2 linked regions of the Schizosaccharomyces pombe genome follow. Changing the gene in region 1 together with any one later gene gives a genetic interaction. Each region holds a gene or a part of one and is shown on either strand. Other genes may lie near its edges.

Region 1 (7,655 bases):
GGTGAAATAAATTAGAAAGTGTAAATGGTAAAGGGAATATTGTATCGATCTTTAATAAAAAGTCGAAAACCACAGAAATGTTACTATGCACGCAACTGTAGAATGAAGCAACCTTTCATTCTAGTTCAAACGACGCTAGACACAAGTCGGTGTCTTTTTTGTTCAAAAATATTATACATATTCTGGGGTGAAAAGAAAAAATTTGATAAACTTCCATTTGCTTTATGATTGTTCATTAGCCAAAGGATGTTCAACGATTTCACCAACTTTTGCCTTATAACCCACAGGCAACGCTTGCAGGAGTAAGCGTACATCTTCAATTTTTTTGTTTTCCAACTCTTTACGAAATGCTTCATCTTGACGAGGATCGAGATGTTGTTTCATAGCTTCGCGAGCATCTTCACGTATCCATAATGGTTCGTCGCTCAACTCAACCATATATTGACAACTTTTTAGAAAGCAATCCTTCGAGCAATAATAGTTGAGTCCACCGTAGACCTTCATTCCTGAATCTTCTAATTTATACCTAGTTTGCTGCTTAGGTTCATAAGGACAAACGGGATAACCGCACAGATTGACGAGTTTACGCTCCTTCACCACTTGATCGTAATCACTTTTTCGAAGGTATTTACGAGCTTCCTCTAAAGTTTCTAGGGAAACCGGATCAACCAGCTTTTCAATCCATTCGAGGGCAAAAAAATCATACTGAAGTCGACTGCGTGCTTCATCTATAAGACTCTTCGACCACGTGATCAATTGCTTTTCTTGAGTGCTTTGAGCATTTTTCGGCTTTTTGAGAATTGATTTTTTGTTCATATCTGAATTGGATATATTGGAGTCAGCTGGAAAACAGAAGGTCTTAAAAATCGCTATTAGGCAGATATGAGTCAGTCAAGCATTGGAAGGAGGAATGAGCATCGTAAAAATACTTTAGCGCCGTGCAATTTTTGTTAAAGAGTTCTTGAGTTACGCAATTCATTTACAGCGAACTAAGACAGTGCGTTGGCCTTGGTACTAAAAATTTTGATAGAAATTACCCTCTCAGTTGAGTGTGGACAAAGGAAAAAAAATAAAGAAAAGCATGCGTTGCACCAATCATGTAAAGAAAGTTTTGTAGGTCTCTTTAAGAAAATCATTTTACCGTTAAAAATAATAATGATAAATTTACATCCACCCTATTCATATCTTCCACTAGTAAATAACTGGTCCTTAATCTTAATGATTCATATCCATATCCATACCATACCCCACACCCACACAGTAATCGTAAATATAGCAAACCAACGATGCTGTGGCTTCGTTTTAGGATTGCTAGTGTATCCTTATGTAAAATAGGAAACCAGATCCAATTGCGTAAATATTATTATAACGTTAAATAACAAAAACCAATCAACATTGATAAGCAAAATAATACCCAATAATCTTACAGTGCATTACGCTACCTTTGGCTAGTCGAACGAATCACTGTCAACAAGATGTTACGATTGGAAGGGAATTCCCCAGATCCTTTCCCCACAATGTTCATTCATTGAAAATCGTCTCACATGTAGTCAGTCGCTTCTTCACGTGCGATATTATCATTTGGGTGTTTATTGCTGTTAAGATTGACCAAACTTCTTTGTCTGCACAAATCGCGTGCCCTTTAGGAACCAAAATGACAGTGTACTGGCTTAGATATCCTAATAGAAGAGATTAACGATGACGTTCAGCTTCGCTATCATTTGTATATATTTTTAGTGGTAAAATAAATCGGCGGAGCCTTCATCTTTGGTATCTTGTTTTCTCTTTTTTTGGCTTTTTGTATATCTGTGTTTTAGGAAAAAAGAATCAGTGTATTGTATATTGAATGGTACCATTCTTTTTATACTGGTTCATTGTTTATCTGATCTCTCTTTGTACTTAAAAAAAGTATTAGCGGATCGCAGGCTCCACGATGAGCTCGTTTCCCACAAGAGTGGTTGCACTCTATCCTTATAGAAGCAGCTTCTCCGATGACTTGGAATTTGATCCAGGCCAAGTTATCGACGTCGTCAGTAATCTGGACGGCGACTGGTATACCGGAACATATGTGGACTCGGACGGTAACAGGAAAATTGGCTCCTTTCCAAAGGACTTTACCGAGCCAGCAGAGGATGCTGTGTTTGTAGAACGTGCTAGCGAAATGGCTCTTCATCAACCTACGCCAACTAGTGCTGTTCATTCTCGCAACTCTTCCTTAGGTTATGCTCCTTCTATTACACGTAGCATCAAGTCGATTTCCAACAATACAGAGCATCTTGGTGCCGATACAGAATCATATCTTTCAGCTAATGACTTTATTGACAGTACAAGTGAAGCACTTACGAAGATAGTTGATGTGGATACATTGAGTGCGCCATTCGGTAACGACAGCAACTCGCGTCCACATTCTTTAAAAAATGTGGAAAAATTGCATACATTCTCAGCTCCATATACCATATCTGAAGAGACGCCATCTTGCTCCACTGAGAACGACTCGCTACCACTTACCGCTACTCACACTATTACTGGTGGTGAGGATGCTGCTACCGGTGCTGCTGTAACCAACACCACCACTACCCACATTACTACTTCCACCAACACGTCTACCGTCATCCCCTCTAACCCAAATTCAGTTTTTCTTGTCGATTGTACTCATTCACAGTGCCCAACTGATTTACCAAACATCGCAACTACCCAACACTCTTTAAGGTATCTTGATAACGCATCTGCATCCGCAATAACCGTTTTGGAACGCACTCATCCCGCAGCTTCTTCCACCATGGCTACTGAGTCCTCCCATCAATCTCCGTCTGCGGACTCACAGGCAGAAGAATTATCAAAGAGCCAGCGAGTTGCAAAGGATGACGATCCTTTTGTTGTTTCCAATACTGCGAATTCCGATGAGCCAGCTTCAAGCTCAAAGCCCGCTAAACCCCTTACTGATTTGAATCGAGCCTTTTCTCAGCGCCTTAACTTGGATCCTCAAAAGCCCGGTAAATCACAGGGCGAAATCAGTGAGCAGGAGGAAGATGAATATGACGATGCTGAGTCAGATGAGATGCACAGTCCCTATAGCACTCACGAACCCGAATCTGAACCTGAAGACCAGGATGAACCATCGGAAAAGGATGATGAGAATAAAGATGTAGAGGAAGAACAAGAACAAGAGCAGGAGGAAGAACAAATTGATCCCGAAGAAGCTAAACGAATTGCCCTACGCGAACGAATGGCAAAAATGAGTGGAGGTATTGGTATGCATGTTTTTGGATTGCCTGGTCTAGCTGCACCTATTGGACGGAAAAACACTTTGAGGAGAACTCCTGCCAAATCCTCCGAGGAAGCAAAGAGCACCACTAATGACTCTTCTCCACCAAAAGACTCTTCTTCCACTTCTACTCAACCTACTGAACAATCGAATGCTCAGCAGGCTCCGTCACCGAAGGAGGAGGAGCGTCCACTTCCTTCCGAACCTTCTCAAAACCAACCAGCAGAATACCGTGATACTCCTGATACCCCCCGGAATATAATGCCTTTACCAGGCCTTATGTCTGCCGACCAACCAATAAAGGTCACTGAGCCTTCCAACGATGCAGATAAAGCTATTGTTGCTGAGGGTCCCAATAATGAGGAAGAGACTAAGGGACCAGTAATCCCAGAAACTCAGGAAACTTCCGAACAGCAAGTTCATAAAACTCCTTCTCCGGAGAAGCAAAAAGTGCTTTCTCCTCCTCCAATTATTACTAACTTTGATAAGGAAACACTTGCCTCTAATGAAGCACACGAAGCGGTACCCCAAAAGCCTTCTGCTCCACAAGTCACTCGTCTCATGGCTCCACAAGATAGCTCTTCAGTGGTAACTCCTTCCCCAACTTCTTTGCTGGATCCTGCTCGTGCTGTTCGTAAAGTAATTGATGGAATTGATCCCCCGAAAGAAGCTGGTGCCGGTGCTACAGCTGATGTAGAATCGGCTGCTAACTCACCAATTACGCCTCCTCGCACCTGGCATTCGCCCGATTTTACCTCCAAGTCGTTTGAACCCATAGAGCGCAAACTTCCCAGTCGCATTTCTGAGGTCACTGAGGACAGTATTGACGAGGATAAGCAGAATGAAGTTGACCCTTCCACCAGTGCGCGTGCTCTTCCTCCGCCTGGCTTACGGTTTGGTAAAGTCGACACTTTAGCCAGTCTTGCACATGATGATTTAGATGATTTACCAGCAGTTCCACGTATATTTAGCCCACCTCCTTTGCCAAAGACGCCCTCTGGCGAATTTGGAGATAATGAATTTATGTTCCCAAAAAAGTCAAATCGTGTTCGTGGTCACCAGTCCAGACCTTCAACTGGTTCCCAACTTCGAAATGTTGTTCCTGTTTCTATTGTAACTTCTGGTGGTCGCCCCGCTTTACCCGACGAAATGGCCTCGCCTAGCTCTTCTATCGGTCATCCTTTACCATCTCCTCCTCCAGCGGATTTTAATAGTTTAAATGTGGATTTTTACGAACCTCATAGCTATCTTGAATCTCCTGCTCCCGAACCTCAACCTTCTTATGAGGAAGAAAGTTTTAATGCTACGGTAATACATGCTCCAACTCCTAGTACTGCTACTTTTCAAGGTCATCCTACCATATCAAATGTTGCTACTCCACCTTTGAAGCAAGATGTTACCGAAAGCAAAGCTTCTCCTGTTGCTGATGCCTCAGCAACACATCAATCTAGTACAGGGTTAACTCAAGAAATTACTCAATTAGGCTCAAATATGAGATTACCCACCAAGTTGACACGTCCATCAAACGATGGACGCAAAGCTTCTGGACCAAGGCCTGCTGCTCCTCCCTCTATTCCTCCACCTTTACCAGTAAGCAATATACTATCTTCGCCGACTTCTGAACCTCCAAAGGATCATCCACCCTCGGCGCCTTTGTCGAAACCAGTATCAACTTCACCTGCTGCTCCGCTAGCCAGGGTACCTCCAGTTCCTAAACTTTCGTCTAAAGCACCTCCGGTGCCATTGCCTTCAGCTGATGCTCCACCAATCCCAGTACCTTCTACTGCCCCTCCTGTACCCATACCCACTAGTACTCCACCAGTACCGAAATCTTCTTCTGGAGCTCCATCAGCACCACCACCAGTACCAGCACCTTCATCTGAAATTCCATCAATTCCAGCTCCGTCTGGAGCTCCACCGGTGCCAGCACCTTCTGGAATTCCACCAGTGCCAAAGCCTTCGGTCGCAGCCCCACCGGTACCAAAGCCTTCAGTTGCAGTTCCACCGGTGCCAGCGCCTTCAGGAGCTCCACCAGTTCCAAAGCCTTCAGTTGCAGCTCCACCAGTGCCAGTACCTTCGGGAGCTCCACCAGTTCCAAAGCCTTCAGTTGCAGCTCCACCAGTGCCAGCGCCTTCAGGAGCTCCACCAGTTCCAAAGCCTTCAGTTGCAGCTCCACCAGTGCCAGCACCTTCTTCTGGAATTCCACCAGTACCAAAGCCTGCTGCGGGTGTCCCACCGGTGCCTCCACCAAGTGAAGCTCCACCGGTACCAAAGCCTTCTGTGGGTGTTCCTCCAGTCCCCCCACCATCTACAGCTCCACCGGTGCCGACACCTTCCGCTGGGCTTCCACCAGTACCAGTTCCTACTGCAAAGGCTCCTCCAGTACCTGCACCTTCTTCTGAAGCCCCTTCAGTTTCGACACCAAGATCTTCGGTTCCGTCGCCACACTCGAATGCCTCACCTTCTCCAACTTCTTCTTCTATGGCTTCTGCTGCTCCAGCACGTACTTCAGTTTCAAGGTCGAAATCTAAAGCTGAAAGGCATGAAACATCGACAAGCAGTCGTAAGTCTTCAAAGTCTGGAGAACACCATCATCATCACAATGAAGGACATGCTGATTCATCTTCTACTCGTACGTCATTAGCGCATCAAGACAGTCGTAAATCTCTTCATCGACATCTTTCGCGCTCTTCGAGTAGAGCTAGTAAGAAACCTTCTATTGTCTCTACTACTGGACCTTTTAACGAAAGCTTTTCTGCAAAGCCGGTTGAGCCTTGCGCTTCTGAGAAATGGTGGCTGAATTCTACTGCTGTTCCTAAATCCGTAGTGCAGATGAATGACTCTGTTCTATATATGATAAAAGAAGGAATTACAGGGCAAGATAAAAAATACAAGTCTGTACACATACTGTTCCCTGACTACAGCCAAACAGTCTTGACAGCTACATTCAACCCACATAACCAAAATATTACACAATTATCTCAACTTCAACTAGCTCCACCAGCACAGCCTTCAAAAGCTAGATTAGATGAGGAATATGCTTGTTATGGCTCTACAATTTTGAAAAAAGCCCGAGCTTACCAAGGTAGCATGGTTGGTGATGGTTCTGCATTCACTTTTGTTAATTCCGTTATGTCGATACTGGCGCATAATCTCGAACCTATAAACAAACAGACTTTTGGAGGTGTGATTTACAAGAATGTTGGAAATGTTACTGTGCAACAAATTGGTGAGATTCGCCCAGGTGATATAGTTACATTTGATAAGGCTAAATTTAGTGGACAAAAAGGTACTCTTCGTTCAAAATACTCTCTTGAAGTTGGTAAGCCCATGCATTATGGTATCATATCAGAGTGGGATGTTTCGAAACTGAAGATTAGGGTGTTGGAACAAGGCAGAGAGTCCAAGAAGGTTTCAGTTGCAAGCTACAAATTCGGTGATTTAAAGAGTGGAGAAGTTACTGTGTGGCGTGTAATGCGTCGATCTTGGCTTGGTTGGAATTAATGGTAATTATTTTACTATGGTTTTAAGTTCTTATCATTTTATCACAAATAACTCAAACTTCCTAAAGAGCAGCACTCATTTTTTTAAATTGTTCAATTGCGAAGCAGATTTGAATAGTCCTTAATGATCGTCTGTCAGTATATTCTTTCACTGATATATCTTTGACGATTGGGATTATTTATATCATTTTTTGACGACACGCCCTATGTTTTTAGAAGACTTATATCTCGTGGAAGTTGTTTGCTGAATTATATTCACATATATACCAAAGATTGGGCTATGTGATTCAACTTTTGAAATATATATACACATCTACAGTCATTTTTATAGTATATGCTAATAATCAGTTATATCTAATTAAACAGTTGAAATGCACAATTAACAATGTATGGTAAAAGGATAAGATTTTGTAAGTTATTGAACTGTACTTAAAGACAATTTCGGAAAAAAAAAATCCTTTACAAAATTCTAACTCTTTTTTCAAACGCTTGCGCTTATATAATCAACAAAAAACATTTATTTCGAGGTGAAACCGAAAATAACGGTTAACTGAAATATATACCTAGTCAAGATTAACGAGAGTGACTTTCACTAACACCCAGAGAACAAGGATGTAACATTGCAAACCAAACAAACTTCTTAGAAAACACATTCAGTTCAAGTGTTATGACTGTTCACCAAAATGAACAACCGTCAAGTGCAAAACGCAGTTTAGGGTAAACTAGTAAATAGGGAAACAAATGGAAAGTGTAAGAGTCATTTGAAGCAATAGACCCATTATTGGTACAAGAATTTGATGCCACACAAAGAGAAGTAAGAATAAATAGATTGAAAGATTTTTTAAAGGAGAATCGTATGTCGTTAAGATTATTGCTAGTGGTAGATT
Region 2 (6,278 bases), on another chromosome or scaffold:
GGTTCTAGGGCGGCATTTCCGTTGAGACTTGCCCATGTTGATGAATATGTAAAAGAAGGAATTGCCCTTTGCGGGGACGCTGCTCATAACACTCATCCATTAGCTGGACAGGGATTAAATACTGGAATTCAGGATGTTGAATCTTTAATATCAGCACTCTCTTTTGCTATCAAGCACGGTCAGGATATTGGTAGTGTTTTTTCACTCCAACCGTATTTCCGTGACCGTTACTTCAAAAACCATGTTTATCTAGGAGTCGTTGATAAGTTCCACAAGCTGTACGCAATGGAAAATCCGGTGGTCACTTCTGTACGAACCCTTGGACTTTCATTATTTGATCGCAGTGCTAGCTTGAAAAACTTCATTCTTTCTACGGTAGCTAATGGAATTTAGTATTGTCGAAGTCTACTATACTATATTTACGTTTTACCACTGGAGCTGACTAATTTATTCAAACAATAAACAAGATAATGATTTTAATATTATTACAGAAGCTATCACTTTTGTCCCATTTATAAGTATACGCTATGCAATGTATCAACTATATTTCACAATTAAATTACTATTTAGCTTTGCTTAATCAAAGTCGTCGACGAAGAGTATTCTCAATCTATCACAATAAAACATGCAAGAAGCAAATACTAGAAGCTTTCATTGATAGCTAAAAAACATGCGATAGGAGAGACTATAGTTGTCACAAGCCATTCATTATTGCAAATTAAGAATCAAGCAATGTACTGGCCGTATTATATATACATCATAATGAAAGCTCACCAATCTTCTTCTTCATCACTACCACGCACAGCTGATGCTCGCATGCGCAAGGCATCAGCAAGTGAACCAGCTAAGTTGTTGACTTCAGCTGGACTAGCATTATTATTCGCTTGAGCTGCAACATTAGTCGAAGAAGCGGTGGTTTGAGGTGTAGAACCTTTGTATTCTGTCACATAGGTTGCGGGAACCCATCCTTCAGCACCATTCTTTAAAGCAAGCCACCACCCGCTTGGCTCCTTTTGAACAATTTCTATAATTTCGTCTTTCTTGATAGTCATTTCATTTGGACTGCGTCCCGCAAAGTCATATAAGGCCAAGTACAAGTCTTTCTTTTCGACTTCAGCGGGAGGAGGAGGAGGAGGAGGAGGAACAGCACTAGGCTTGCTGACGTTATTAGCAACTGGAGCAGAGGGTTTAGAGATATTGCTTGGAGAAGAAGCTGCAGAAGTTACCGTGGAAGGAGCTGGTTTAGAAGCAGAAACAGTGGTTGCTTGCTTAATAGTTGTAGTCGTACTTGTAACTGGGGCTGCAGCTTGAGTTGTATTAGGACGAGCTTGCATAGCAGGAGCAGGGGGACGATTTTGGGTTTGTTGAGCAGTACTTACGGGATTAGCCATAGGAGCAGGTTTGCTCTTCGCAGCCGGCATAGATACGGGCTTTGTAGCAGCAGGTTTGTTCTGCACAACTGGGCGAGGCCCTCTAGCAGCTGCTGTACTACCACCAGTTGCTAAGCGAGGGAAAGGCTTACTCTTACTGGTAGGAGGCAAGCCAGTACCAACATGAATAGTTCCACTCTTGTAGTAGTCATAATCCTTAGTGGTTTCGTCTTTTGCCGTCTTAACAGTTTGTACCTTGCCAGGCTTTCGGCAGTATTGAATGGTGGGACCCACGATAACTTGAATATTACGATTGATTCTCTTTAAGGTAGTTATAAATTCTGTTTTGAAAAAGCATCGCAAAAACATATCTCCATTTTGGCTGGACTTATTACGAATTGCAACCCAATCATCTTGCAAATTTGTAAGACCAACAGAATCGATGGAAGATACAGCGAACTTCTTCTCCACCTGTTGTGTGAGCTTTTGGTCAACAATTTTTGTAATCACCAAATATAAATTCTTTTTGGTAAGAACCAGTTGACGAGGAGAAGGTTTGGAAGTGCGGCCTAGCTTATGAACAAGGACCTCACATCTCATTGAGAAAATTACGTGATCGTTTTGAGAGAGGCCGCATGTGTTCCATAGAGTACCATTAGGCTTTGAAGCTGATAGATAATCTCCATAAAACTTACGGGATCCCAAAATACTATATCTTCTGCGTTGCTTTTTACCTTGCAAAAGTTTAGTACCCTCATTACGAACACGTTCAAGTTCCATGTTAACTTTGTTCCTATTCCACAACTTCTGAATACAAGCAGCAGCTTCAGATCTTCTTCTAACATAAGAACGCCAAGCACGTTGTATACGGGTTGCCATTGTATCCCAAAACTTATCACGCATGTCTTCGAGCGCGAATAAGGTCTCCGGATTTTTAATGAAAACTTTGCTAGTACCCATTTGGTATTCAGATGAAGGAATATTGGTATCTTTCAAAATCTGTTCGCAAGCAGACTTATCATCACCCTGCCAAGTGTATTCTCCTGCATAACTGGTTTTACCACTAAGAACTGCAAAACGCTGAGCAAACGTATCGAAAGCTTGACGATAAGCAAAACCAGCACGACGAATACGAATGTTTTCTTGCAAACCTAAATATTTGATTTGATGTAAAACCATCTGCTGATCGTAATCGTTAGGCGACTTAGTCTGATTGGGTTTAATCGTACGTATATACGATGGTTGACATTTCATAAGAGTCTCTACTAAATCATTAGCAGAAGTTTTGATACGATCACCAGCTGTAGGAGGACGACGACGGGAGTTACTCTCTTCAGCCACTGGGAAAATAGATTTCATGAACTCGTTGTTGGAAGAATGAATAAGGTTAAGAATATCAGTTGCTAACTGATCCTTATTCTTATCGGTCATTCCTGTAATGCTGTAGGTTACATCACCAGCGTAATGTTTGACTATAAATTGATTTTGTCTCTGTTCAAAATGTGGATTGGAGGATAAAAAGTTTAACCGCTGAGCAAAAGCACTATCCGCCGCAGCAGAGTCAGCATGAGCGGTAGCGATAGCGTCGTTCATTGCTGCGAAAAGACCAGGAGGTCGTTTGGATTCAATCAAATCACATACAACTTTATTGTTGAAATATTTGATAGGAGTCCAAGCAATTTGCTCACGCACGTATTCTTCCTGTTCAGTTTTCAAAGTAAGTTCTATAAAAATTTGTTGCAATTTTTCATTAACATAGTTAATGCACAATTGTTCAAAAGAGTTGTTTTCAAAGATTTCAAAGCCGTAAATATCTAAAATACCAATCGAATTGGAAACGCTGTTGTCTGATGTGACCAAAGCTTTGTTGACACGTTCGACAATCCAATCAAAAAGACAGTTATAAATCGCCATAGACAAAGCATCACGAACAGCCAAAGCTTGTGTTGGATTTAAGGGGACTTCATATACAGATCCGCGCCTTGCACCATGCTGAGTTTGCATAATACGAATTGTCAAGGCACGCTCAATAGCCGCAACAGGAACACCGATCAAATAGCCTAAAAATTCGGTGATGCTCTTGTCAGAAATCACGCTACCACCATCTTGGCCTTCTTGAAATTGAATATTTCCTAACCAAAGGATGATAGAAAGCATCCTAAATATTTCATCTTGCTCCGGCTCGGTGATACCAATAACCTTCATGGCGTTCATCGTTCCTTGGAAGTCCTTCTCATCTGAAATCCCATCAACCGACAAACATTGACAAGCAGAAGTGTAAACATAATTCTCCGGACCTTGAATGCCATATGTATCACGATATTTCTGAGGAGCGCTCTTGGTGAATTGATAGAAAATATGGAAATTACGCTCATTGCGAACTTGATTAACAATTCGGTTCTTTTCTAATAAGTAGTTCGTAATTTTAGCGCCGACAGGAACACCTCCGGAATTAAAAATCATTTCTAAATACTTTCCATGACGAGAAGAATTATTATTGCGAAGAGTTTTTGCACAACCAAAACTTTCCAATAAAGGATTGGTAGCTAAAATAATTTCGGAAACTCTTTCAATTTCAGTGCCAACGGACTTTGAAACATGTGTAATATATTGCATGATCCTTTTTGCAGCCTCAGTCTTACCAGCACCCGATTCACCAGAAATGATAATACATTGATTCTCATGATAAGACTTCATTTGATAGTAAGCGTTCTCAGCAATTGCATAAACGTGAGGGCTCGTTTCCAAACGGTTTTTTCCTTGATATGATTTCAAAATATCCATCGTATAAATACCCAGGTCTCGAAATGGATTTACAGAAATCAACACATGTCCAATATATGTATAAATCTCTCCATTGCGAAATCTCAGTTCCAAGTTTTTGTTAATTTCCTCATCTGTAATTTTCGAAAGTAGGGTTAAATCATCAACACCCACAGTCTTTTTGCGTGTGCTGGTATAAACAGCCTTTTTAATACCATTGCTTTTCCCAGTGCTATTGGGAGCAGCTGCAGTCGCAGCTTTCGCGCGGTTTGTTCTCTTAAGGATGGCCTAATTTATTAATTAGCTAACATTCGGCATGCATATTTACTTACCATAAAATCTATTCACTTATGGCCGAACAAGAGATAGGTTAACGACAAGTCCGCACTTACGTGTAGGTTTCTTCTAATACTGAGATAATTGCGTTACGGATCGTTAAAATGAGCGAAATATGAGTTTCTAGGTCAATATTGCCAAAGACCGTTCGAAACTTCAGACCCCAATTATTAAAATTGTACTTTAGCTGAAAATTGAATATACTTTAGCTTTCTGTCGTTTGCTTCATCCATTTTTGGTATTGACATTAAAACAATTACCTAGCCGAAAGAGGCTTGTTATGTAACATACTCGAACGAAACTTATCCAAATGTGTTTTAGGGTAACTTCATTAGGTAAGGTAACGAACACACTAAAGGTATGAAATTTGCGACTAATTATGATGAAGTGATAAACATAACGCGCTTGAATTAGTTAATACTTGATTTGATTATTGTGTGTTCATGTAGTCGATAAGATGAATTAAATGAACATGAATTTTCAATTATGAATATTTTAAGTCGAAGATACCTTTCATAAAGCGAGAAGTTTTGAAGTATTTTAGATATAACGGCTATCGCCGTTTCAAGAACCAAAGCAGCCGCAGATTATTATAACGCGACATAAAAGGTTGAATTCCCCAGCAAATACAACTGTAGTTCTCGTATTGACCTTGAGTATATTCTATGACAATTAACTTATTACAGATATTAGGATGTAACACAATATGAGAGAAGCTATATGATTTGCAGTAACTTAAACATAATCATCTGTTTATATCATTTATAAAAGAATACAAACAGTGATTTATAGACAACGTTTGTGAGTGCCATAATTAATTGAAATAACGGGGTTTATATATAATACCAAACTAAATGCACGAGATGAAAGCTAATCTACTTGCCTGTTACAGAGAAATACAAGGTACACAACTTTAGTAATGTCAGGATATCAAGTAGTGAGAACATGACAAGGCAGGCTCCTTTTAATTGCGAAATCGTAGAAATATCATAAGGAGCTAAATAAAGAACGGCAGGAAAGGTATTTACAACAAGAGTAATAAAACAGCGTATCAGATATCGATTTAGCGAAATATTAGACACATGATATACCTACTAAATCAGCATCCATAACAGCTTTCCCATTGTGAATTTAATCCATCAAGAAATTTAAAGAGTGGATAACATTCCTTATATAATTCTACTCTAAACAAATGCACCCAAGCTAAGGGCAATGCCTTGAGTTTTTGAACGAATGCGAACATGTCCTGAGATAGGACCGGAGACGGATTTTTCAACGCTAAGACTCATAAGTGCGTCTTCCCCAAAAATACTGCAGGCGTACAAATTAGCACTCAAAAAACCACAGTCACCACGCAGAGACGCGTCTGGAGTAAGACAGTTCATATTGGTTTTCTTCATTATTTTATGTAAGAAATCGTACAGACTAATGTCTTCGTTGGAAGAAATATCGACCTTGTTTTCCCATTCAAATTCCGTCCACATGCTACGGAATTGAGATTCGGGAATGAATGCGGGTTTTATATAATCAATAATGTTGACTGGAATGCCATTCAAAACAACAATTTTGTCTTCGTCGGATGCTTTACCACCATACACGATATTTCCAAAGATTACTGCAGACTCCGTTGAAGATACCTTTACCGTAGCCTGAACAGATTTAAAGGCATGAGGTCCTAAATTCATGGGTGGTGGACGCTCTACAACCTTAAGATCTCCCAACGTAGCCAAATCAACAGAGAGATTCTGTAACGTGGTATCCGTTCGATTAACCAATAATATGTCTAGAATAATATCAAATTGTTGTATC

Evidence for each region.
Region 2: of bbc1 (region 1) and myo1, changing one suppresses a phenotype caused by changing the other (phenotypic suppression), as found in Schizosaccharomyces pombe (one study listed by BioGRID).

What each region holds. Positions count from the first base shown.
Region 1 is NC_003424.3:4,104,894-4,112,548, forward strand, and holds bbc1 (SH3 domain-containing protein), read left to right. Parts: upstream 1-1,754; 5' UTR 1,755-1,933; coding exon 1,934-6,769; 3' UTR 6,770-7,151; downstream 7,152-7,655. Other genes in the region: RNA polymerase II CTD phosphatase Rtr1, read right to left, coding at 223-816.
Region 2 is NC_003423.3:1,023,463-1,029,740, forward strand, and holds myo1 (myosin I myo1), read right to left. Parts: upstream 4,512-6,278; 5' UTR 4,469-4,511; coding exon 4,466-4,468; intron 4,422-4,465; coding exon 771-4,421; 3' UTR 501-770; downstream 1-500. Other genes in the region: monooxygenase Coq6, read left to right, coding at 1-393; coatomer beta subunit Sec26, read right to left, coding at 5,654-6,278. UniProt on the Schizosaccharomyces pombe protein: Type-I myosin implicated in the organization of the actin cytoskeleton. Required for proper actin cytoskeleton polarization.